Drosophila melanogaster: one gene and its partners. The gene in region 2 interacts genetically with the main gene of each other region. Each region holds a gene or a part of one and is shown on either strand. Other genes may lie near its edges. The genes, in order: trx, EloA and corto.

Region 1 (6,955 bases), 9.0 Mb from region 2:
ACAAAGAGGCCAAGAGACAATCGGCCAACAAAACGAACAATCTCCCGGCAAACAACGAACAACGAGGCAAAGTAAAACTGGCCTGGCCAATTCGAAATTCGAATGCATCGTCATCATCATCATCACCGTCTCCTCGAAATCGACAGCCGAACGAACACGAAGATAAACGAAAATACTAAACCAAATTTGACGGGGGAGAAGAGGGTATGGAGCAAAATGAGAGAGAGAGAGAGAGAGAGAGCAAACGCACACACCTTTAATTTAATTGCCATCAATTATGGTAAAAAGATTAAGAAATCAAAGCAAGCGCAAAAGGTAAAATAACTTGAATAAGAAGAATGGGCCACCAAAATGAAACTGAATACGAGCACTTAACGAAATTAGATAAAATATTTTAATTGAATAATGTACATCGATTTGAAGAGTATATCAAAGTATAAGAATGCTTTTTGAGTTGCAATATGATTGATTGCTGAGATTGGCAGCAGATTATAAACCTTTTCCCAACATTATTGACCTATAAATAGATCTAGTTTAAAAACAAATCCCATATCAAATCAATCGGATGACAGCATGTCGAAATAATGCCACTTTATTTCACAATGATAAGTATGTTCGTCTGAGCTGCGAAGTGATATGAAAACTTGCTCGTAAATTGCTTAATTGATTAAAATTGACATCTAATTATACGTTTTTTGTTGTGTACCAGTAAACCCCAGTACACATAGCCCCGTCTCTGTCGCACTGCATGCCAATAACCGCCAAAGAGGGGCGAGCACAAGACTTGCAAATTGCGAGTAATTGAGAAGATTAAAGTCAAGCACACGAGAGCAGACAGAGATGGCAAATGAGTGGGAGGGAGAAGGAGACTGGTGGGAGGGGGCCCGGTCAAAGAGAGGGAGAGAGAGTCAGGTAACGAATCGACTGGCAAACGATTAAAGCCATAAACACGAGCACGACAATCACAACAACTTACATACAACACAAACAGCTACCAAATAGACAACTATCTGCATGCCACACACACACTGCTGCACAAACTCGATTGACAAGTTGGAAAAAATCGAAGTCAACCTCGCACATAAAATATGTAAATTTGTATGAAATTATTCCAAAATGTCGTTTATAAATGATCACTGAAAAAAATGATCGTAAATGGGAGGTAAATTAAATGAATTTTAAGCCCCACAGTCACTCCATAACTTTTCCTACTCCACTTATTAAATATTCTTTGAATTAATACATAATTATTTGATCAATAATTGGCAACATTAACCGCAAAATTTTTCTCAGTACAACAATGAGAGAGCCCAGAGAAAGCAGCTGTAGAGGTGGAATCAACAAATGAGCGTGAGCCCCATTCCCCAAAAACAAAAAGAGCGGCAGAGAGCACACGCGGGGGAGTGTATGTTTGTATGCTTGTGCACACACACATACACCGTATTTGCTTGTAAATCAAAACACGCAGCCAAAGGTGAAACATGAAAAATGTGCGCGCCAATAAATGTGCGAAAGGTGTCGTGGTGTGGGTGCCGCATGGATTGGTGTTGGGATGGATGGATAGAGATGGTCGGATGGATATCTGTATCTCTGTGGGCCATGAGCATTGGGCATTGAATATTGAGAGCCGACTTGGCAGCTCGCAATTTTGATGTCCAATTTGCCACGAAACATGAACTAAATACTTGTACGCGAATGTTTGTTTGCGTGTGTGGGCATCTGGTTTCGTGGTGTTTATGCTGTGTGTTGGTGGTGGTGGTAAAAGGTAACGAAACACAAGGTAAAATAAATTCAACTCAGCTGGCAGCTGCAGCCTCTCAAAACGCACTGTAAATAAAGGTGTAAATACAGCTAGCTGGTAGCAACAATGCAAACTAATAATTCGGCCACCGAAGCAAATAGAAATCACACCTACAGTGATCGCTCGCTAAGCGAAGCATTGTAGTGCTCATGTTTTAGAAAATAGATTATCTTGGAGAAGAAGAACAAATAAACAAATGACTTTTTTCGATTTTACAATAGGAATTATGTAAACAAGGATATTTTAATTTAAACCCGTTGAAAATGTCCCATCAAATGATCTTAAAATTTGTATTTGTGAGTAGACCCATCCGAATTCAAATGTGCAATGATTCTGTGAGGCGTGATCGACGAGATGCGGACGCAGTGGAGCGTGAAAATGCATTCGGATGAGCATCGGTTGGCCCGCATCGCATATTCATTCCCATTCAAGATCTCGCATTAGCTTACGGCTCAGTTGGTCGACTTTTGAAAGGCGAATTTTAATATGCGCAATTACTCATTTGGCGATTTTGCGCCTCAATGTTGTTTGGCGCGTAGTTTCCCACACACAAACACACAGGCATCGACACTAGCCGATTTGGAATTTGCCTTTTTGATGGCAAATAAAAAAATGGCGTCAACAAATACTCAAACAGCCAATGTACAAGTACATATATTTATTTTGTAATTATTCAACAGCTTCTAGGCAGCGAACGGCAGCGGCAATCGATTTAGCTCCTGCTGCTGCTGAGATCGTTTTTCATTTTATTGTATAATTTATTAAAAGTTTCAACAGCGCCAGCAACAAAACAAACAGCAATTTTAGTTATACAAACACTTTGGCCATGTGAGCCCAATAGAGAGAGAGAGAGAGAGAGAAAGAGACGGTGAGAGCGAGAGAGTGATTTGATTTAGAATGAGGCGACAACAAAAGCAATTAACTGGTCACACATTAAGTTTTATTTATCGGCGATGCTTTATTATAGCTCGCCGCTGTGTGTGTGGGTGTGTTAGCGACTGTCATTTACCGTTCGTTTTACGGGTGGTAAATAATGGAAAACGTCGTAGATGGAAACTTGCAGTAAAATCCCCCTGGCTAACAGAAAACGAATAATATTGTTTCTTATAAGAATGAAATATTTGATGGATTAACTTCAGGAGTCATATGATTATATGATAATAGATGTACTTATTTTAAGCAAAAAATATTTCGCCTCCTCTTTAAACTGTTAGTATTAGATTAAAATAAAAATATTAACTAATGAATTCGTTGTTAAGAAAGTTGTTATTAAATCAACAGGTTTTCCAGAAACAAGACTTGCTTACTAGTACTACAAAATAGAACAAAACTAAATCAAAAATGCTACCATCTGCTGCTAGTCGCACTCAACGAGGTCCCACTGTAGACATAAATCGCAGCGTGGGCCATAAACTAACAGTATTTGTTGTGCAGCCTAATTTGCATTATCGAGTGAATAATTGAACGACACTTTCCTATTCTTTCTAGCTAAAAACAACAATCTAAACTACTGACTAGAGGTCTACAAAGGTTAGTGGGGACTTTATGAATATGAAATCGACGGGATGGGATATGATAATGTGATGTGGTGTGCAATGGTGTACAGTATCTCCGGGTGCATTCCAAATCAATATCTGGCATGCTTATATATGTGCGCAAATATCCATTGATATATATTCACGGCAGACTGACTCATCGGCAGCCGGCGACGCCTTTTATCGCGGCGATCTTATAATTACCTTGCTGTCGAGCGTGTATCCAGATGCAGATTGAGATTCGATACCGTTTCAGGGGTTGTTGTTACCATTTGGCATCCTTGGTGCACGAATATAATACGAAAACGAAAATAATCCACACTTGGGACAATTTCACAACAAAACGGGACAGAAACACACGCACTCAAAACACTAGTAAACACAAAATACAGGGGTGGAGATTGCGATTTTCGTTTTTATTTTCGTTCACTTATTTCTTGGTTTTTGCTTTGGCTCTCACATTCGCCGCTCTCTCACTCTGTCGCTCTGCGCTCACAAAACAAACGCACAGGTACACGCACACACGAACCGAAATGGCCCGCTCTCTTGCTATTTCGTTCTCTCTCTCGCGCCCGCGCGTTTCGTATATACATATGTTGCTACGTATGCGCGTGTGTGTGTGTGCGGGTGTCTGTATGTATGGGTTTTACGACGATGAAAAATGCCTGCTTCTTCTTCACAGAAATCAGGTTTTCTGCTCTCGATTTTCACACTTTTTTAACAATTGAACGCCACAAATTCGATGTAATTTCATTGGCAGACACTGCATACCATATTCACACACACTATTTAGCACAGTTTATCAATTATTTTCCACATTTTCTGCGTTTTTTCGACGAGCGAAATGGAAATAGCAAAGCAAAACGACCGGACAGTGTGACCGCGCCGATAACTATAAAAAATACTGTGAGACTTACAAATAAATTCATGTGTGTGCAGACCTGGTCACACCGATATTTTAGTAGGGTGTCTCTGCTCTGCGGGGTGTGTGTCTTGGTTAAATACGGAATGTGTCTCTGCTAGTTCAAAGACAAAAGCGTATTGCTACAAAACAGTATTTTTCAAAATTTAAAACCACTTTCGGTGTAACTGCTAATTTGTTTAATTTGTGGTAATTAAAATGTTTAGAATGGAGTGTACAAAACACATTAACCTTGAATTTTTGAATATCCAATATTATCACACTTTCCGTTCAATATAATTTTTAAGTACCCTTCGGTATCTTATTGGGAAAGAAGGAAAGAAAAGAAACCGCTTCGGTAAACAATTTAAAAAACAGGAGATTTTCCTAGTCCACATTCTAAGTGGCAAATATCAATCACCTCATTGGCAATTCCATTATGCCAGTATATGAAGTTCGGATTAGTTGCGATTTCATAATGAAGCCATAATGTGCGGACACACATAAACAACTTGTCAGCTGCGTCCACTTCGCATTTGGTTCTTTGCCAAAGTTATTAACCAATTTTTTGGGAAGACACCCAAAGGCTTTATGCATTCGCAAGGCGCGATGTAAACAAATAGATTTTGGTCAACGAATCGAACGTGTCCGCTCAATTAGCACATATTTGATTCACAATGTAAATCCAACTGTTGCCGGGCGAGAAGCGTAGGGCGGTAATTCGGTGGCTTAAATCGACGTCATTTCGACGACGTTTCACCGAAGTGAACAAAAAATTCGCAGGAAATTGAATCACTGAGCGCCTGTAAATTTCTTGTTCAGTGACAAAAAATGGTAACCCACATTCAGAAGATGTTATCTCACAAAAAGGCATTGCAATTAACCTTATTAGTATAGAAAGTTCACCAAGAAGGACGTGTTAATAGTTGTGGCCTGAATTTAGTAATTACTTATGTAAATAAAAATAATAAATAACTAAATATTATCAAAATAATATAATAAAATAAAAAAAGTAATAATAATGAAACTATAATCATAACAACCATTATTGCTAGTAAATGAAATAATTCAAATGAATGCTAATAATAGGTACTAAATCAATTTCCCTGGCATTCCTTCTATTAAACACGAAAACATAAACAAATTGATCAACTCCTTGTAACTTGGACTATCAGCTATTGGCAACACGGGCAGATCGAGCTTTGTTTTTGGCAGCTGACGCATTCCGCACCTCATGGTTAGTCGGTCCGTTTAGGTGCGCAGTGATAAGGGGTATCGATAACAATATATGTATATCTAACATGGATTACCTTGTACTGTGACAGTCATTCGGCGCTTATCTGGGCCGCAAACAACACGAATTCGTTGGCCTAATCATAATGAAAGTCTTGTTTTGACAGCAGCAGCAGAAGCAGCGGGCGTATAGCCACTATCACCGGATTTCCAAAAATAGTTCTTCAACTTTTACCGCAATCTGCAATGCAAACGATGACGTCCGCGTTGGTTGGAAAATTTCCAGCTCATCGCTGAAAAAGGGATTCCTCCACAGATCGTGGGCTTATCATGCATGCTAATTAATCCTATGACGAACTCGGGAAAAAAAAAACAATAAAACCTAATAGAAAACGCGAGGAGCTTGATAATCATTGTACTTGTGCACCTGTCGCCGTCATCCAGTTATCATTTAATAATCAAGATGAGTGCCAGAAAAACAGAGAGAGCTGCTTAAATGATTATCACAAGTTTGCGGGTACATACTTACATACATACGATTATTTGCGTACAGTGTGTGCCATCTATATAATATTTTAGTTTAGATTATTAAATGCAAGCTATTGTCATGAAATCTAATAAACTTAATTTAATCAATTTAATCTAATAAAATCAACATCCAGTTAAAACATGGTTTTTGTAAGGGACACCACTGCGTATGAGTGATCTGAAGTGGGAAAGTAAATTAAGTAAAGTAAAACTCGGATGGTTCATCACACCATGCAACCACTGTGCCTGTAATATTCTCTTTCCCTGCTGGCTAGTCCAACGTGTTTGCTATCACCATTATCACTCGAATTAGGCACAATCATCTAACGAATTCGTATGGCCCCTATGGTGAGTACTTGGAAAAGTAATTCCAGGTTGGAGAAGTGAGCAGTGGAAGCAGTGGAGGCAGTAAACCAACATCCACGAATCGAATGAGTATTTGTGTGCACTTCCAGTGCGCGATAATGCCATTCTTCAATTCCAGCCGAAGAAACCGAAAGCCGAGAGCCCAGCTGAACGCCCAAAGAGAGTCTTCTGGAAGAGAGTCTACCTCGCCGGCGGCGGAGAATCGTCGCTCGTCGCTTGTTCGCCAGTCATTTCAGCAGTCACTTGTTTTTGAGTGCTGCTTGGAGTTGGTCGCTCGCCTGCTGCGCTCTTAGTTGTTTTGGCTAAGTTCACTTAGTTAGTGCCTTCGTTTAGCGGCGAAAAAGCTGGAAAAAAACGTATAAAATATATCGCGTTGTCGTCGCCGTCGTCGTCGTTGCCGCTTTTGTATCTGTGTTTGTGAGTGCCGAAAAGATGAATATATAGAAATACACACAAATAAACAAAAATATTATAAAAAGAAGAGTTGCTATTAAGTGAAATATATGCACAACAATTACTTAAGTTAGAGAACGGTTACTGTCGTTGCCATGGGACAAACGTAAAGCCTCGATTGTGTGTATTTACACACTC
Region 2 (7,776 bases):
TTCCCTTCAGCTGGCGAGAGCTTTTCCCATTAGAGCTTTCCTCTCTCAGTTGCTCTCAGTTGAGAGAGATTATTATCCTGCGTGTGTCAGAATTTGTGCAGTGAAATTCCAAGGAAAGCCGCACAAGAATAAGGAACAGAGAGCAACGAGAGAGCGAGAGAGAGAGAGAGCAAAGCCGGTGGAAGGAGGCAACTACTGAACCCACCACAAACCATCCCCCTCAGCAGCATCCGCTCTCCTCCTGCCAATATAAACAACCATTTGGGATCTGTTTCCAGCTCTGTGTGAGTGCGCTATATGCTAGATAAACAAAATATTAGGGGTGTATAATGAATGCTTGAGGGTTTTTTGGAAGTTGCCCGCTGCTCCACTTGGTGACAAATTGCTGAAATCTAGTCGAAGTGCGAATACGCTTTTGTTGTTTTTGTACGCAATGTAATGGAATTTTGTGACTGCAATGTAGAAAAACAAATAATATATTCCTTAAATCATCCCAAATGAAACAAATAAAAGTACAAAGAAAATTAGAAATATTCAATCATACATAGAAACATTTGATAATAAAATAAATCTTGCACAGCAATTAACTAATCGTAAACAAAACATTAATATAATTTCTTTTAAAAATATTTTTCGGCTAGAATAGATAAATTTGCTCAAAATTTAAGCCTTTATTTTAAGATCTATAACTTCGTTGCCCTCCATATCCTGGTTATTGGGCGTATCATTTGGATCCAACAAGTCACCGTCAAAACTGAAATCACCTCAAATTCAGTGGATTGTCTCTACTTTTTCCAGCTTTTAGTACTTACAACAATTTAATGGTTCGGGGATCACAGTTCAACTCCTCAGCACACTTAATAAATATGATTTTGAAATTATCAGTTTTCTTCATGGGTATCACCAAAGGATGCTTCCATTTATCCGCCTGTACTTTAACTTGAAACTTCTTAGGTTTCCGGCAAAGAGCTTCTGGATTGTAGTCAATTTTAGCAGCCACGTTGTTATTATTGTGACTCTTTGTTGGATGGCCAGCTGTTAAATAGTTGAGAAATTTTCAAATAATAATATATATCTGAATAGAGGACACCTACTGAGCGTATGAAATGATTTGAGACCAATGCTGTGCGGCGTATCCTCAGGTCCAACGAAGTTATAGTACATATCCACCGTTATATCATTCTCATCTATCCCATTGCGTGATGCTAACTCCTTGAACAGATGCTTAAACTTTTGGTGCTGCCGCAATTTATAAATCTGGATCTCGCCAAGCCTGCATAAAAATATTTATATTAATCACGAAAAAGGATAAATATATTAAAACTTACCACGACAAAGCTACTTCTATTGTGGGATTATCGTTATCAAAAATATTTTCTTCCTCTACGACAGGAGGAGCCTCCTTTTCACCCTCGTCTTCAGAGTCTAGATTAACCTGTGAAGAAATAAGTATAATATTAGCCTTATTGAATAGTACAACTTCTTTCTAGGGACTTACAAATCCCTCCACTCGGGGAGCGACCGCAGATACCAGATCAATACTGTCCACCACTTTGGAACGGGCTGCAACTTCGGCCAACGTCCACCGTCTGCTAATGTGCTCATTGTTCTGCTACAAATATGAAGAGATTAGAAAATACCCAAGATCTCTATTCGAAATTTCAAACATACACCTACAATGCTTGGCAATGAGACCTCCATCGAAGCAGAGTTGCTGGTTGTGGTTGTTAGAGATGTTCTCTTTTTTTGGCCGCGCTTCTTTGGTTTCGTCTGTGTGGGCACCTCCACAGTCGGTGAAACAGGTGGTGGCGCCATTTCTGACCTATTTAACGATGACCGTGTGCGTCTGGCCACAGGACCAACGTCATTTTCTTTGGCGTGCTTCTCCACATCCGATTGCTGGCCATTTTTCTTTTCCATCTCCAATATCAACAGGGATACCGGTGATAGGGAGCGCTCTGTTCTCATATCCTCTTCTGGCTCCACAGCCTTATGTTCTGCCTGTTTTGGTGGCGAAGCATCATCCTGACTTTTGGGTGGATTTTTCCGCGTCGCTGCAGGGTTCTTTCGTTTGCCAGTTTTAGTTGATTTCTTGGGGAGGTCTTCAATGAAATCGTAGTCCACCTCCTTGGAGAAGGAATCATTGCCAAGATTGTAAGGATTCTTGGGCAAAGCTGATAAAGACGACAAAAGCGAAGGTATGTGGAAAAACTTGGATTTCTGCAGTTTAAAGCTAACCTATTTCGGGAATCCGCTTGCGAGCAGCACTGAATATATCGCAGTCGTCGTCGGACATCGTGGGCACTCAGTAACAGTCAGTAATAAACCAATAACGGCGCCAAACAATAAACACAAACACAAAACCAAATAGACGCCACAGTGGTTGCAAGGAAAATCGATATCCGATAACTACTGTGACCAGGGTAGCCACACGACACGAGACCACGATCAAAGTATTTGCTGGTAGTCAAATGTAATTTACAATTCGATTTTATTTAATGTGTGTATCGATGATTTGGACATGTTAATTATTTGTATTATCACGATTGAATTCACTAAATGTTTGTACAAGCCTACTGTGACGTAGAGCAACTCTGGCCGACAGCTGTTTGGCCAGTGTTGACAAGCGCCACGCCGTCAAAAGCAAATCTCATTTAGTTTCCAACGCTGCTGGCCTGGCAAAAGCAAAAATCGAATGTATTATAATAAAGGCCCGTAATGCTATTGAAAATAACTTAGAGCCTCGCGACCAGAGGCTTTTCCGCGTGTGTGTGTGCACTTGTGCGTGTGCGTGTGTTTGCCCTTGGGTGCGTGTGTGTTTACCTGGATTCCCTAAAAAAAAATCAGTAAACTGAAAGTGAGAAAAAGAAAACGGGAAGAGACGACAAAGTCTGCCTGCGTGCCATTTTTTTCATTTCATTTTGCGTGGAATACTTTGAGACGACGCGATGGCCTCCACCAGCAATCTGCTGGACGTGGTGCGCCACTACCAGCGCAGCATTGAGAAGCACGGCGAGGACGAACAACGGGTGAGCTATTACCCTCATTGGCACCGCCATCGCATCCCTTTTGATCCACTGCTTACTGCCTTCCTATCATTCAAGTCCCCCATTTTCCTAACCATTTAATCACCCCTATGTACCTGACCTGGCTGGCTTTCCCTTACTTAACCTTGTGAAATTCGCAAACATATGTACCTCCGCCAAGGTCACTTTTCTCGACTTTAAGTCGCTCTTCTTTTCCGCTGACCTTTCACTCACACGGTCTTTTGCTAATCTTTCTTAATCACCTCTTTCGCTACCTGCTCTCCCGTCGAGCAGCTGCTGCACTGCATCACCAAGCTGTTCAACCTGCCGATCAAATTCGAGCACCTGCAGGAAACGGGAATTGGCAAGACGGTGAATGCCCTGCGCAAGATCAGCGGGGAAGTTGGCGTGGCGGCCAAGACGCTGGTAACCAAGTGGAAGGCAATGGTGGCGAAGGAGGACCCTTCGATCGCATCTACGCCTACAGCCATACATAACGAAGAGGACTCGGGCAAGACCAAGTCCAGCGACGAGGATCCCGACCAGGAGAACAAGGGCGGCAACTCATCCAGCGGCGAGGACTTGAACACCAGCAAGCACAAGTCAAAGCATGCCAAGAGCACCAAGCATGAGCGTAGCAGCAGCAGCCGATCTCACTCCAAGAGTAGGTCTGACTCGGATAAGAAGCACAAGAGCTCTCGCCACGATAAATCCAAGGATAGAGATAAAGATCGGGAGGGTCAGAAGGAAGCTAAGGAGCACAAAGAAAAGAAGTCAAATGGCGAGCACAAGTCAAAGGATTCCAGCAAATCCAGCAGCAGTCACAAGAGCAGCAAATCCGAGAGCCACAAGAGCGAACACACCAAAAGCAAGCACGAAAAGGTATGCTTTCCTCTTGATCAAAAGTGGTTATTGTTCTTATGCATTTTTTTTTCAGGACAAAACTTCTCACAGTGAATTAAAGGAAGTCAAAGACAAGTCGAGCAAACACAAATCATCGTCCTCCAAGTCATCAAAGCGCTCCCATAGTCCCCCACGCCACGAGGAGGAGTCCCAAAAAGCAAAGATACCAAAAGTTAAATCGAAATCTGAGGAAGATTCCGCTGATGGTTTTGACTCCAGCATGGGCGCAAATTTTGACGATGTTCTTGGTCTGCTAAACATACCCATAAGTAGCAAGAAGAGCAGCAGCAACAGCAAGAGCAAGTTTGTCGCCAAGCCAACTGCAGCCCCTTCCTCGTCAGCTCTATCAGCACCTACGACTGCTGGGTCATCTAAAGAGGCACTCTCAACTAGCAGTCGACCGACCTCCAAAGTAATTAGTAGAAATTCATTTTTATAAGTTGTGGTAACATATGTTTATTCTTTAGAAACCCGAACTGTTGGCATCCACAGCTAAGCTGGAGCCCTTGGATCCAAACATTGCACTAGAACTTCCCACCATATCCAATAACTACAAGCCCATGCCATTAAATCAGACAGTTATGGACGTCGTCTTTAACCAGGGTGGCTCACACAAGGCGCAAGCATCACGATACTTTAATGAGTCAGAAGCTCTAGCGCAGGGCATCTCTTCCAAAACTATGCGGTGAGCTAGGATATTATAATGTGATGCACAAAGTATATCAACTTTTTATACTTTGTAGCACCAAGATCTATTCGGGTGTGAGAACTGGTCAAATCCTGCAGGTCCCTTCCCTTTTTGATCTCTGCACCCGCGTGCTGCAAAAGAATATTGATGGTAAGATCTTACTAATGGTCATATCGAATGTAAATAACCATCTTAATTGTTTTTCAGCATTGGAGTATACGGGTGGCGTTCCGTTTGAGGTCCTACGTCCCGTTTTGGAGCGAGCTACCCCCCAGCAGCTGCTTAACTTTGAGGAGTACAATCCTTATTTAATGGATGACAGTGATGTCCTATGGCAACAGCATGTCCAACGTCACTGTCGCAGTCAGCGGCGTGAAGAGATGGAAACGTGGCGCGAAATGTTTTTGGTAGGGACGCAAAGACCCTAAATTAATGCAAACTAAACTAAGCTGACACAAAAATTTCGTTCTAGCGCTGCCAAGAGGAAAAGGATCGCAAACTTAGCATTCTGGCCGAGAGCATCAAGGCATCGCAAAAGATAAGCGAGGCGCCTGTGCGCAAGACGCAATTGGCCTTTGTGGACTCAATGGTGAAGCCGCCGCGTAGTGTGCAGCGCAAGCAAGAGCAATATGGCACCAAGGGCAAGCTAATTGCCACTCCAGCCGCCCGAGTGGCCGCCTTGTCCAGCGTGACTCCAAATGCAGCCAAGGTGGGCGATGCCCGACTACGTGTGCTGGCCGCTGCCAGGGACACGGCCCAAGTGGGTAAGTATTGTAATGATTGTGGTTAAGAATTAAATTTACCTATAATTTTTATTGAAAAGGGGCTGGACCAGCGCGATCGAAGAAGGCACCTCTAATGGCGAAGACCTTGCAGTTTATGCGCGGACGTCTCAAACGATAGATGCGCTTACTCATTATAGCTACAATCTTATACTCAACTTCTTCAGCGACAACTTAAGCAGCAGCAGTAGCAGCAACCTCGATCTATTAGGCATTCACGGTGGGATTACCTTCCAACTTTATTGGCAAAGACTTTCAGGTCTGAATAAAGTGACATTGTGATACTAGACCTTCTACTTCCCAGTGCGCTGTGGAATCAGACTGCTGCTGTCGGCATGCGTAGCATATGCATGCTATTTATTATTTATTCATGTTCTGCCCTCTTTTATTACGCTGTATAAGTCACTATATTTAAGCCAACCGGATAAAGATAAAGCTTTTGTTGCATCCCGCTGGGTCGTAGACAAGCTCATTTACATAAGTTATGATATTTGATTATAGTTGTTCAATTCATTGATTGCATGTAACTTACGATCAGAAGGCTGATCACTCCAACATTATTTAAAAATTAAGTTCAATGTTCTTTGTTCAAAAGGGCTGTGCGTATGTCCAAAATCATAGAGGTTCCAAGCTGTATATAAATGTATTTACACAATCCTAAACCTATATGAAACTACCTAAATTATTGAAGAACAGTAAAATGTCTCTTAATGCATCGCTAATTAAATTCAACCAAAAAATTCTATATTACCTTTAGATTTATTTAGTTTTGCACATTTTTAGGTATTGGGTAAAATGTTAATATATTAAAAAAAATCACTTCAACAATTGAAATTCGATTCGAATGCTCGTCTTATTTTTAATAGTTACACATTTTTCAACTTTTGTGGAAATTGGCCACTCATTACTTATGCCATGACTTCGTTTTGAAAGACATTCTTTAGCTGTGACCAGTAGACGATGCAGGTAAAGGCATTACACTGTAACCAACTCGTTTTATTCCACAAGAAAGCTACCAGGATTGTTAAATCAAAAGAATTATTTATATAAAGAATTGTTTCACACGATAGTAACAATAATATACAACTTATTACAAAATAAATTATTTTCAAACATAAGTCGTCACTAGAAAGTCTAAATTCGGGCTGAACTTTCAACCGTCTTCTTTAAGTGCCGATGCAGTAGAGCGTCTTGCTGGTCCCGTAAAAAACATCGACCAAGCGCTGGCAGGAACTATTGACAGTAAGCACACGATTCGTTGTAGCTGATGATGAGCTTCCAGCACTACTGTTGTCACTGTGGAGCAACCAAAATAAATCATCATTACCAATATTAACAAATTGCTCCGTTTCCATTCCACAAATATAACTAACCTCATGGGCGATAGTTTCTTGATGTCCCACAATCGCAAGGTACCATCGCTGCACGCTGTGGCCAGGTGCCTATTGTGCGTGCTCCAGGAAAGAGAACTAATGCTCGCCGAGTGATCCTTGAGCTCAGCCAGCTGTGCTCCGGCGGCCAAGTCGAATATACGCACCTTCGTTTCCTCTCCGGCGGCAGCCAACATCTTTCCATCTGGGCTAAACGCCAGCTGGGTCACCGCCTGACGGCAGTCGGCAAAGACACGCATCAATTTTCCGCTGGTTGCACACCACAGGCGAACGGAGTGATCTGCCGATCCTGTGGCTATGTAGTTGCCATTCGGATGGAACGCAACGCACTGTCAGAAAAAAAAAATATATATAACTAAAAGTTCAAAGACATTTTTGGTTAAACCAACCTCAACATCCTGTGTATGCCCGGCATAAATTATGAGCGCATGTTCCTTCTCTAGCGACCAGAGGCGCGCACTCAAATCCTTGGAACCCGTTACCACGTATTGGCCCACTGGACTTTCGTCCAAGCACCAAATTGGGTAGTTGTGACTTCTGTATATGGCGGCGCAATGCAGGTTGTGGGCACGCCAGCACCGCATGGTTGCGTCTTTGGACACACTATACATGAGTGGGTAGTGGGCGGAGAAGCGCACATCGGTGACTCCTTTTGTGTGACCTCGCAGCTGAAATCCGCCGTATTCGTTGCTAATTAGAAAAAAAAAACTTTAGTTGATTAAAAATTGAAAAATAAAACCAATACTAAACCTGGAAGATGAACTTACTAGGAGTTATCAGCATATTTGCAATGTCGCGCCCTGTTGCGTTCCCGTCTCTCCTCCTCAGAGCACTTGACATCCTCATCGCTGCTGTCCTCATCCGTCTCCTCCTCTTGATTCGCGCAATTGTTCAGCTCCCAGGGACACCGCTTTTGCGGATAGCGTCTGTAGAAGCTCTTGCCGCGGCAGTAGCTCTGGTTTAACTGCCACAGCTGTACGGCAGAA
Region 3 (8,578 bases), about 18 Mb from region 2:
AAAGTAAATTTTCCTGTTTTTATTTCGAATTAACAAGCGGACCAGACAAACAGACAGCCAACTGCAGCGGAAGGAGCAAGAGGGACACACTGAAATGGGCTGCCTAATCGCTCCGCTCGATCAAGAGATACCCTACACACAGATGCCTCAAAAAGGTTCATCCATGGGTCTTAGAAAGGATTTTGTCAAATACCTAATAGCACGTTATAAATATTTCAATTTCCATGCGCGTTTCTGTCGATGTACAGCATTTGTTTTTTTTAACGTTTGCATCATAGTGACATATATATATATAAACAGCATAGATTTGGCCTGTAAGTGCACCTAAACTAGGATTTCAATGAGATATTCATATATATTTATGATTTATTTAGGTCCGGTTGAAAACCAAACCGAAGAACTGTTCGGCAAAGTGTAATTTGTAGAGTGGCGTATACCCCTAACCCCCAGCGAGTAGCGGGTATAAAAAACGAAAGTTTCGTGCAGACGTCGGGGAATAGAAGCGACGAAACACAGAACACAGTCTTCTTGGGAAGAAGCCATGCAGCGCAACCGGTCGCAGTCGGGATCAGTTGCCGGCCTAGCGGTTACTTAATAATGCAAACAGGTTTCACCGTACAGGCCGACTGGGCCGGGGAGAACGGATCGGGAGGACCGTGACTTGGACTTCTGCAGGAGAAAGGCAGTTGAGTTATGGATTCGATATGCCACAAGGGAAGAAAAGGAGGCAATCCGGGCAGCAGGGCGATGCAGCAGGCAAATATAAAAGGAGACGATGACAGAGATTAGAGAAACAGGAAATGTGGGTTGGACCGATTTAATGAGTGAATGCCAGATCCCAAAACAGACGGTCAAAAAAATGTCCTGGGGACAAACAAGAATGCTGAATGTTATCATAGAGCTGCCCTAAAATAATACAAATTATACATTTCACTGCTTCCGAGTTCGATAGTCGATCGTAGCCCCGATACAAAGAAACTCATTTTGTCCATGGCTTGCAGTAAGAGACTGCGAAAACTATGATAACTATAACCTGATCCTATCAAGTAGAATCTACTTGCAACTTACTTGAACTTATACCTGCAAGATGCACGTTCAGTGCAATACAGCGGAAATAAATAGTATTTTGACCAGTTATGAAAACACAAAGGGCGCATTTTATTGCATTCAGCCAACCCCACATGAGTAAACCATTATCTGTCTGGAATTTCTAATTTCGAAGTTTTCTATACCACTTCAGGCATTGTCGTCGTCTTGGCAGTTGTCGTTTTGTCTGTTGCCCCTCTTGACCAATTTCCTGCTGCCCGTTTTTGTTCGTTCTGGCCGTTCGCTTGGGTTGGGGTTGAGCCATAGGCTCTCCAGCAGAGCGACTGGCCCGCTAATTCAAGCAGTTCGGTAATTTCCAAATTGGCGGCCCGTAATCAAACTGTAATGCGGCCGACTCGTCATTAAGCACGCAAGCAGCAACATCACGGCAGCAACATCAATCCAGAAAGCAACCAAAGGCAGAAAAAAGCTGCAAAAAAACAGCACAGCAGAGCAGAAATAAGCACACAAAGGGACGCACGAGTGCAAAGCTGGCAGCTACATCAGATCCAAAACCCATACAAATAATACGGCGGAAGCACCAATAAAGAAAAGGCTTAAAAGCAGCAGCGACAGCACCATAAAAGTCGGCATAAAGCTACAACACTATAGTGTCGATATTAACCCAAACCAGACTCCAAAAACCATCCACAATCCCAGATGCAATGAAGACAATTCATTAACAAAACCATGGCAACAACAGTAGAAAAGCAGGAAATCATTAAGGCTATCAAACAATAGTATCCATTAACTTGTATACATGCACCAATCATGTTCTTTCTTAAGAGTCTTAGAATAATTAGCACATAATACGAATTATTAGTTTTTAGTAGACAATAAGAAGCATTAGTTTTACTTTTTGGATTAAAAGACATGCTTCAATGCAAATCCGCCACATAGGTTTTCATTTTACTTGCACATCGAATAGCAACAACACTGAAATGCAATGGCAACTTGACAGCAACAACTTTCAGCCCCACAACAACAACAGCTGCAACAGCGATTCCAACAAACATATGCTTTGAGAAAAAAAAAAACAAATATGTACCAAGAGAGACAGCCAGACTCACCAACACACTCGCACGCGGACACACCTCCCCAAATAACAAAACAGCTGATTTGTTATCAGCAGTTGCTGAATGAGCCCCACAGAGCGAGCCACTCTCTTGCAGCAACAACAAAATGGGGGGAAAAAAACGACGCCAACGGCGGCTGCTATGGCAACGACCTTCCTTATTTATTACAATGTGTGTAATTCCCAGCCGTTTTCTCACTCTCTCTCGCTCTCTCGCTGTGTGTGTGCGAGCGAGACAGTGCCCTTTCCTGACTTAAATTGCCCATTTTTTAGTACAGAAATGTTTAATATCGCTGTCTGTTTGAGTTTTTGCAATTTGTTTTCCTTTTTTGGTCTGCAGAAAGTCTCTCAGTGCGCAGTTTAGCTTTCGTATTCCAAAACCGGAGAGGTTCTTGGGGTATTTGTTGTATTCTTATATTAAGGAACTACGTAGGTGTGTTCGAAGTTGCGTCGCAGAGGATTTTTAGGCAGTTGTGTGGAGATCACACTGCTTATGTTGATATTATATGGGTTTTAAGTTTTAGGGGTGTACCAAAGTGCTCAGAAATACATAAGTAAAAATAACCCATTCCCATTTTAACCAGGTGATGCTGATAGATTCATTCAACTCCCCGTTTTTAGTGCGGCTCAATTAGCTCTCAACTCGCCGTTAACCCCTTTAGAACCCATCTGCTTTTACGACCCCATAAAGCTGCTCCCAAAAATGCGTTTGCCGTAAAAAATTAAAGCACTAAAACGGTTAAAGACATCGTATTACAAAATAATGTGCGCTCTCTCGCTCTTTTCTCGCCTCTTTGTCTCTCTCTGTCTCGACCAAAGCAGTTGTAAAGATGGCCGCCGTGTAGTAACATGGCTGAATGTATACCACACACACACACGCAGGCACAGAGAGAGCGGTCACAGAGAGGGAGAGAGAGCGGCCATTGAATGCAATTTATATAGGAAAGCAACAATAACAATAACTCTGCGCTCGTCTCCTGCGACTGTGTGTGTGCTGAATACGTCACGGAACATCAGCTGTGCCGAACAGCAGGTAGGCGTCGGCAGAATGGAGCGAAGACGACGTTTCGAGTCAGTCGCTTCAAAGAGCTCGATTCGTGCGGACATAGGAGGAGATAAAGCGTGGTCTGTGGCACGTAATTAACGAAGAAGAGAGTTAAGAAGATTCAACGTCGCGTCGAAGGTGAACACGCAGTTAAAACCCAAAAACAAACGCAACGCAGCCAATTGTGATACGAAAAATAAGTAAATCGGCAGACAATCAACAAAAACAATAAAAGCAAAGCCTACACACAGGCGTAGGCGTCTAGCCAACAGCTGTTTTTCGTGCGCGCTCCGTATTCAGCATACTCGCTGCGCTTACAAACGTCGGCAGAGACCGCGGCAGAGAAGCAAGCGGCGGCAGCAAAACTACAAAGCAGAAACTACAATTCAGATCGCGTTTTTCTTCGGAGTGGATGAGACGTTCGTTCGGCAGTTCTATTGCGCATAGAACTAACAAGTTACCTACTCCGCGAACTCACCCCCGCGAGAAAAGAACAGAACAGAGCATAACCGAATGGAAAGAAGACAAGGAGTAGCTAAAAAGCAACGGTTAAGTTAGCCAGCAAAAACGGGCAAAAAGACTGAAAACACACGTGGATTGTTCACTCACCCCGACACGCGCACCCACTCGCACTCACACTCACCCAGCAGCTCCAACTGTTCGCTGCATTTATGTAAAACCAAACAAAGACTGACTAAAACGCTAATAAATATACAATAAACGTAACGAAACAAAGTTAAACACGCGAACAGCAGCTAATATTATACGGGTTAAAGCGAATTCCAAAGCAAAGCAAACACACATATGGATTAAGGTTCCTCCTATCTCAAAACACAAAAACAAAAGCAACAACCAACTCACGGATTACCTGCAGCGGCAAATTTACCGTTAGCCGCTCTTTTTGGATTACCAGTGCCAATAAAACCACAAAAGTGAATTTTTTCGAAAGTGAAGAAAGCGAAAAACATCCGCAAAATGATAAAAATCTAAATCTAAGTAAATAAGCAAACCAAAAGCGAATTCTGTGTTACCGAAACGAGAGCAAAAGCTAAAAGATCCCCTGAATACAGCAATGACGATGGCCGCCTGTTATGCCAACTACGACATGTCGTCCCTGTCGCACGGCATGTCGGCCCTGTCCGCCCTGCAGCAGCAACAGCAGCAGCAACAGCAGCAGCACAGCCAGACGCAGCAGCAGCATCATCACCAGCAGCAGCAGCAACACATGTACCACGCCGCCGTGGCTGCCCACCAGCAGCAGTTGCTGCAACAGCAGCAGCAGCAGCAACACCACCGCCATCACCACCAGCCCGCCAACACCAGCAGCAGCAGCAACTCGCGCCACAGCCATGCGGCGGCGACCCAAACGCAGGTCGCCGCCGCGGTTGCCAACAGCAGACAACAACAACAACAGCAACAACAGCAGCAACAGCAGCAGCAGCAGCAGCAGACTGCCAGCAGCAACAGCAACGCAGCCCCCGCTCCATCGCCGCAGAAGGACTACAGCATCCCGCTGCACGTGGACTGCAGCGTGGAGTACGAGCTGCCCAACCAGCCCAAGCCGCCGGCGGGCCAGAGAGTGGAGCCCCTGCTGATGATCCACCCGTGCTACTTCCGCAAGATGGAGTCGCAGCGGCGCAGCCCGTTCGTGAACAACATGCATGCGACCGCGCGGGCGGTGAGCAGCAGCTCGCTGAGCAGCGGAGCGGCCCTGGGCGGAGGCGGAAGCGGTGCGGCGGTGGCCACGGCGCCCAGCAGTAGTGCCGCGCGGCGTGGAGCCCGGGCGGCTACGAGCGCCCAGCAGCAGCAACAACAGCAGCAACGCTACCAACAGCAACAGCAGCAACTGCGGCAACAGCACCAGCAGATGTCGCAGATGTCGCAGCAGGCCCACTATCCCCAGCAACAGTCTAGTCTGGTCCGCCAGCACCAGCAGCAGCAACAGCAGCAGCAGCAGCAGCAACGTGCCAGCAGCAACCAAAGCCAACGCCAAAGCCAAAGTCAGAGCCAGAGCCAGAGCCATGCAGCCAACTCAGCGGCGGCAGCTGCGGCCCAGGCCTCGATAGCCGCCGCAGCCGCCGGCCAGTGGGATCAACTGGCTGCGCTGGCCGCCCGCACCGCCCTCACGCCGCACCACATGCTGCATCCCCACAGCCACTACGCGGCCAAGGGTAGTGGCGGCGGAGCAGGGGGCGGGAAGCGGGACGCCATGATCTCCGGCAGCTACGGACAGACGGCGGTCGCCTCGGGGAAGCTGCAACAGTCGCAGGTGCAGCAGCAGCAGCCACAGCAGCAACAGCAACACTGCCTGCCTCCGCCGCCGTGGGACGCGACGTCCATGCTGATGGACCGCTCGCCGATGGCCACAGTTCCTAGCAATTATCAGGCCGGCCCTGACACCAATCCCATGCGCCTCTACTCGGCCACGCCCACCGCCGGAGCGGCCTCGGGCGGGTCGGCGTCGGTGGGCGGAGGCGGGGCGGTGAGTGGTGCGGGGGCGACGGGAGCAGTGAACACGGCCACCGACAAGTTGAGCGGAAAGTACCGCCAGTACTTGCGGTCCCAGCGGATGCACCCGTACGCGGCGGCCGCCTCGCTCAACTTGGCAGCCGCCGCCGCTGCCGCCGGCCAGACCTCGTTTGTGCCGTTCAGTTCGGCGGCCACGGCGGTGGCGGCCACGCCCACATTCCAGCACCTGCCGCAGATCTCCTGCTACAACGTGTGATGCAGCACCAGCAGCAACCAGGACAACGGCAACATCAGCAGCAGCAACAGCAACTTGCAACACATGAGACAGGCGCCTACCAAGTACGCGTCGATGAAATAGCCGCCTCAAGGAATAATTAATAGATCCTCCCCTAAAACAGTACTATATATACACACCCATCAAAGCTTTTAGAATCAAAAGTAATTAACTCTAAAAATATTAAGAGATGAAACAAAATTCTGTCTAGCTGCTATGAGAAATTGTTGTCCGACGGTGAGAAAAGAGGAAATGAGCGATCTTTTTTTCTTTTAGTAATGGTAGTAATTGATAAACGATACAAAAACAAACAACAACAAAAAAAAAAAATGCAAACTATTGTAGTGATATTTGTTATAAAATAATTTTAGTAATTAATTTAATTTAAATTAAACAACCAACAAGAAACAACAGCAACCGCTCTGTGTAAGCCAACCACATAAACAATAACAACTGCAACAACGGCAAAAACAAGAACTGCAACAACAACAACAACGGCAGCAACATTAAACAAAACAATTGCTAAAAGTTACACATACGCATATTTAATTACAAATCAGCAAAATGTTACAACAACCATTTACCGAAAGAATACGAAAATATGAAAGGAAAATTATTACCAAACGATGGAGAGAGAAGAGTAAAGCAGAAAAAAGCAACACAAAAAATACGAATAAAAATTATTCAAAATTATGCAACGTAATTTGAAGCGAGATATGCAAAAATTAAGTAAATTGTGTTTTCAATTAACGTAGCGAGCAAGAAAAGCATAGTTCAAGTGATTTGGCCGCGGCAAGGAAAACTCCCCTTGCCGTCGGCTTTTGTGGCCAACTTTTCACACTTCCCACCACCACCGACCGACTAACTCCTCTTTCTGTTCGCCTTGATTCGATTTTCATCTTCGCTCCCTTTGTTTCCTCATTCTGCTCCGCCTCATGGCCTCCTCCTCTGCGGTGAGCCGTGATTGATTATTGTCATTGATGGAGGACCGGGCAGCGGGTTGGGGTGACCTCGGCGCACAGCACAGGGGTCCCTCGCTAATGGCAAACCGTTGAGCTGAGACGAATTTCGAAAACTTACAGGGCTCCGATTTATGGCTAGACATGAGGACGTCTCTTGAAATTTCACTATTAATATCTTATACTTAGATACTTATATACTATTTAATGTATTTGAGCCAGCTGTTGAAGGACTAAATCTGGCAACACACTACGATATCGAGAGATGTTGATTTCCACTCTATGTACATATATGTGTTCCACGACGTCGGTTATTTCGCTTTTACGCCTTTGTTTTCGATTAGAAGTTTAAATACGTTCTTGTTCACGCCACCAGCGGCCTCACTGTACTTACCTTTCAAAGACCAGCATTCTCGAAGTTCATTCGTTACAGTGATATAACCGAACTGCCTTTGCCTTCAGTGCTTACGGCTCTAATTTTGGTCTTTGTTGCGAGGTGAAAACGCAGCAAAATCTAATGGTTTCGAGTGGCCAGGAAACGCGAGATGTTATCAGCTGAAATTGTTTTTGCTCGCCCCCAAGGTCCCTCGGGAAAGTGTGTGCTTTCATTACTGATTGCATGTCGAGGCGATTGGCGCGGTTCCATGGGAGTTGCTGGGTTCCGGAAAGCAAATAGCTGAGTAATTTATGCATGGGCAGGAAAACCCGCTGAGGATTCAGCGCGCCATTAAGCCAATCGTCGAATTAATTAAGCCAAAAAAGAGTTTTCAACTGAAATGAACGACATCCGCTGCCGGGGGACCGGCACTGACTCATCTGTCCGCTTTAGGCTGCCCTACATCCAAACAAGTCCGACTCTACTCCACGACCATGCGGTCGCAATCCACTCGAGATTCAAGAAAGAAAAGACTTTAGTCCAATTGCAGAACGACGGAACCATTGCAGGAATTTGTGGGACCAGTTTAGACGCATCGGTTAGTCGAAGAAATGGCCAGACCACATATTAATCCATAACTTATTCAACATACAAGTCATTTCATTAGGAAAAACATTATTTAGGGGAGCTTGACTTTTATTCATCTGCTGTGAATTGCATTTAACACATAAATGAATCTGATTTAGAGCACATTTGTATTTCTCCATCCTTCGTGGAAGCCCATTCAACAGCATCTGTTGCAAGAAACCTTAGAAATCACTCTCCACTGGGCACTTTCCATATATAGTAGTCCCGCTTGCACGCCCAATCTAAACAAGCCACTGCTTCCTGAATGGTGCCGCACTCTCCGCGGGATTCATCTATTCACTTATTCAATTCATATTAAATTGGTCGTAGATTAGAGACGGAAAAATATTTCAATTGCCGCCGGCGGCATTCACACAAGTGTAATTAAAATATACTGGAGATCGGATCCAGCTCCAGCTGAAAGCGTCGGTTGTTTGTTTTCATTTCGTTTGAGCAATCAACTATCAGCTGCTGGGGCCATTTGCATGCGGCTGGGTGAGTGATGGCCCCTGTAACCCACCGCCCCACCGCCCCAATTCGAATGCGAGGTCATCGCCATTGTCGTCACTCATCCGCCCCGTTGCCGCGTTAGGCAGGTGCCGCTCAGCTCGGATCGTCTCGTCTCGTCTGGGATTACTAAGCTGCACTTTGGATTCACACTCGTATC

Evidence for each region.
Region 1: of EloA (region 2) and trx, changing one suppresses a phenotype caused by changing the other (phenotypic suppression), as found in Drosophila melanogaster (one study listed by BioGRID).
Region 3: of EloA (region 2) and corto, changing one suppresses a phenotype caused by changing the other (phenotypic suppression), as found in Drosophila melanogaster (one study listed by BioGRID).

The regions. Positions count from the first base shown.
Region 1 is NT_033777.3:14,282,669-14,289,623, forward strand, and holds the start of trx (trithorax), read right to left. Parts: upstream 4,236-6,955; 5' UTR 3,541-4,235; intron 1-3,540. UniProt on the Drosophila melanogaster protein: Histone methyltransferase that methylates 'Lys-4' of histone H3 (H3K4me). H3K4me represents a specific tag for epigenetic transcriptional activation.
Region 2 is NT_033777.3:23,248,929-23,256,704, forward strand, and holds EloA (elongin A), read left to right. Parts: upstream 1-2,634; 5' UTR 2,635-2,948; coding exon 2,949-3,029; intron 3,030-3,320; coding exon 3,321-3,908; intron 3,909-3,963; coding exon 3,964-4,341; intron 4,342-4,396; coding exon 4,397-4,614; intron 4,615-4,672; coding exon 4,673-4,767; intron 4,768-4,824; coding exon 4,825-5,024; intron 5,025-5,089; coding exon 5,090-5,381; intron 5,382-5,440; coding exon 5,441-5,520; 3' UTR 5,521-6,143; downstream 6,144-7,776. Other genes in the region: Rad60, read right to left, coding at 664-754, 813-1,035, 1,095-1,273, 1,329-1,435, 1,499-1,612, 1,672-2,174, 2,239-2,296; wda (will decrease acetylation), read right to left, coding at 6,566-6,695, 6,773-7,119, 7,180-7,480, 7,558-7,776. UniProt on the Drosophila melanogaster protein: SIII, also known as elongin, is a general transcription elongation factor that increases the RNA polymerase II transcription elongation past template-encoded arresting sites.
Region 3 is NT_033777.3:5,081,726-5,090,303, reverse strand, and holds the start of corto (corto), read left to right. Parts: upstream 1-3,231; 5' UTR 3,232-4,278; coding exon 4,279-5,931; 3' UTR 5,932-8,578. UniProt on the Drosophila melanogaster protein: Essential protein required for proper condensation of mitotic chromosomes and progression through mitosis. Binds to specific polytene chromosome sites, many of which are shared with the posterior sex combs (Psc) protein.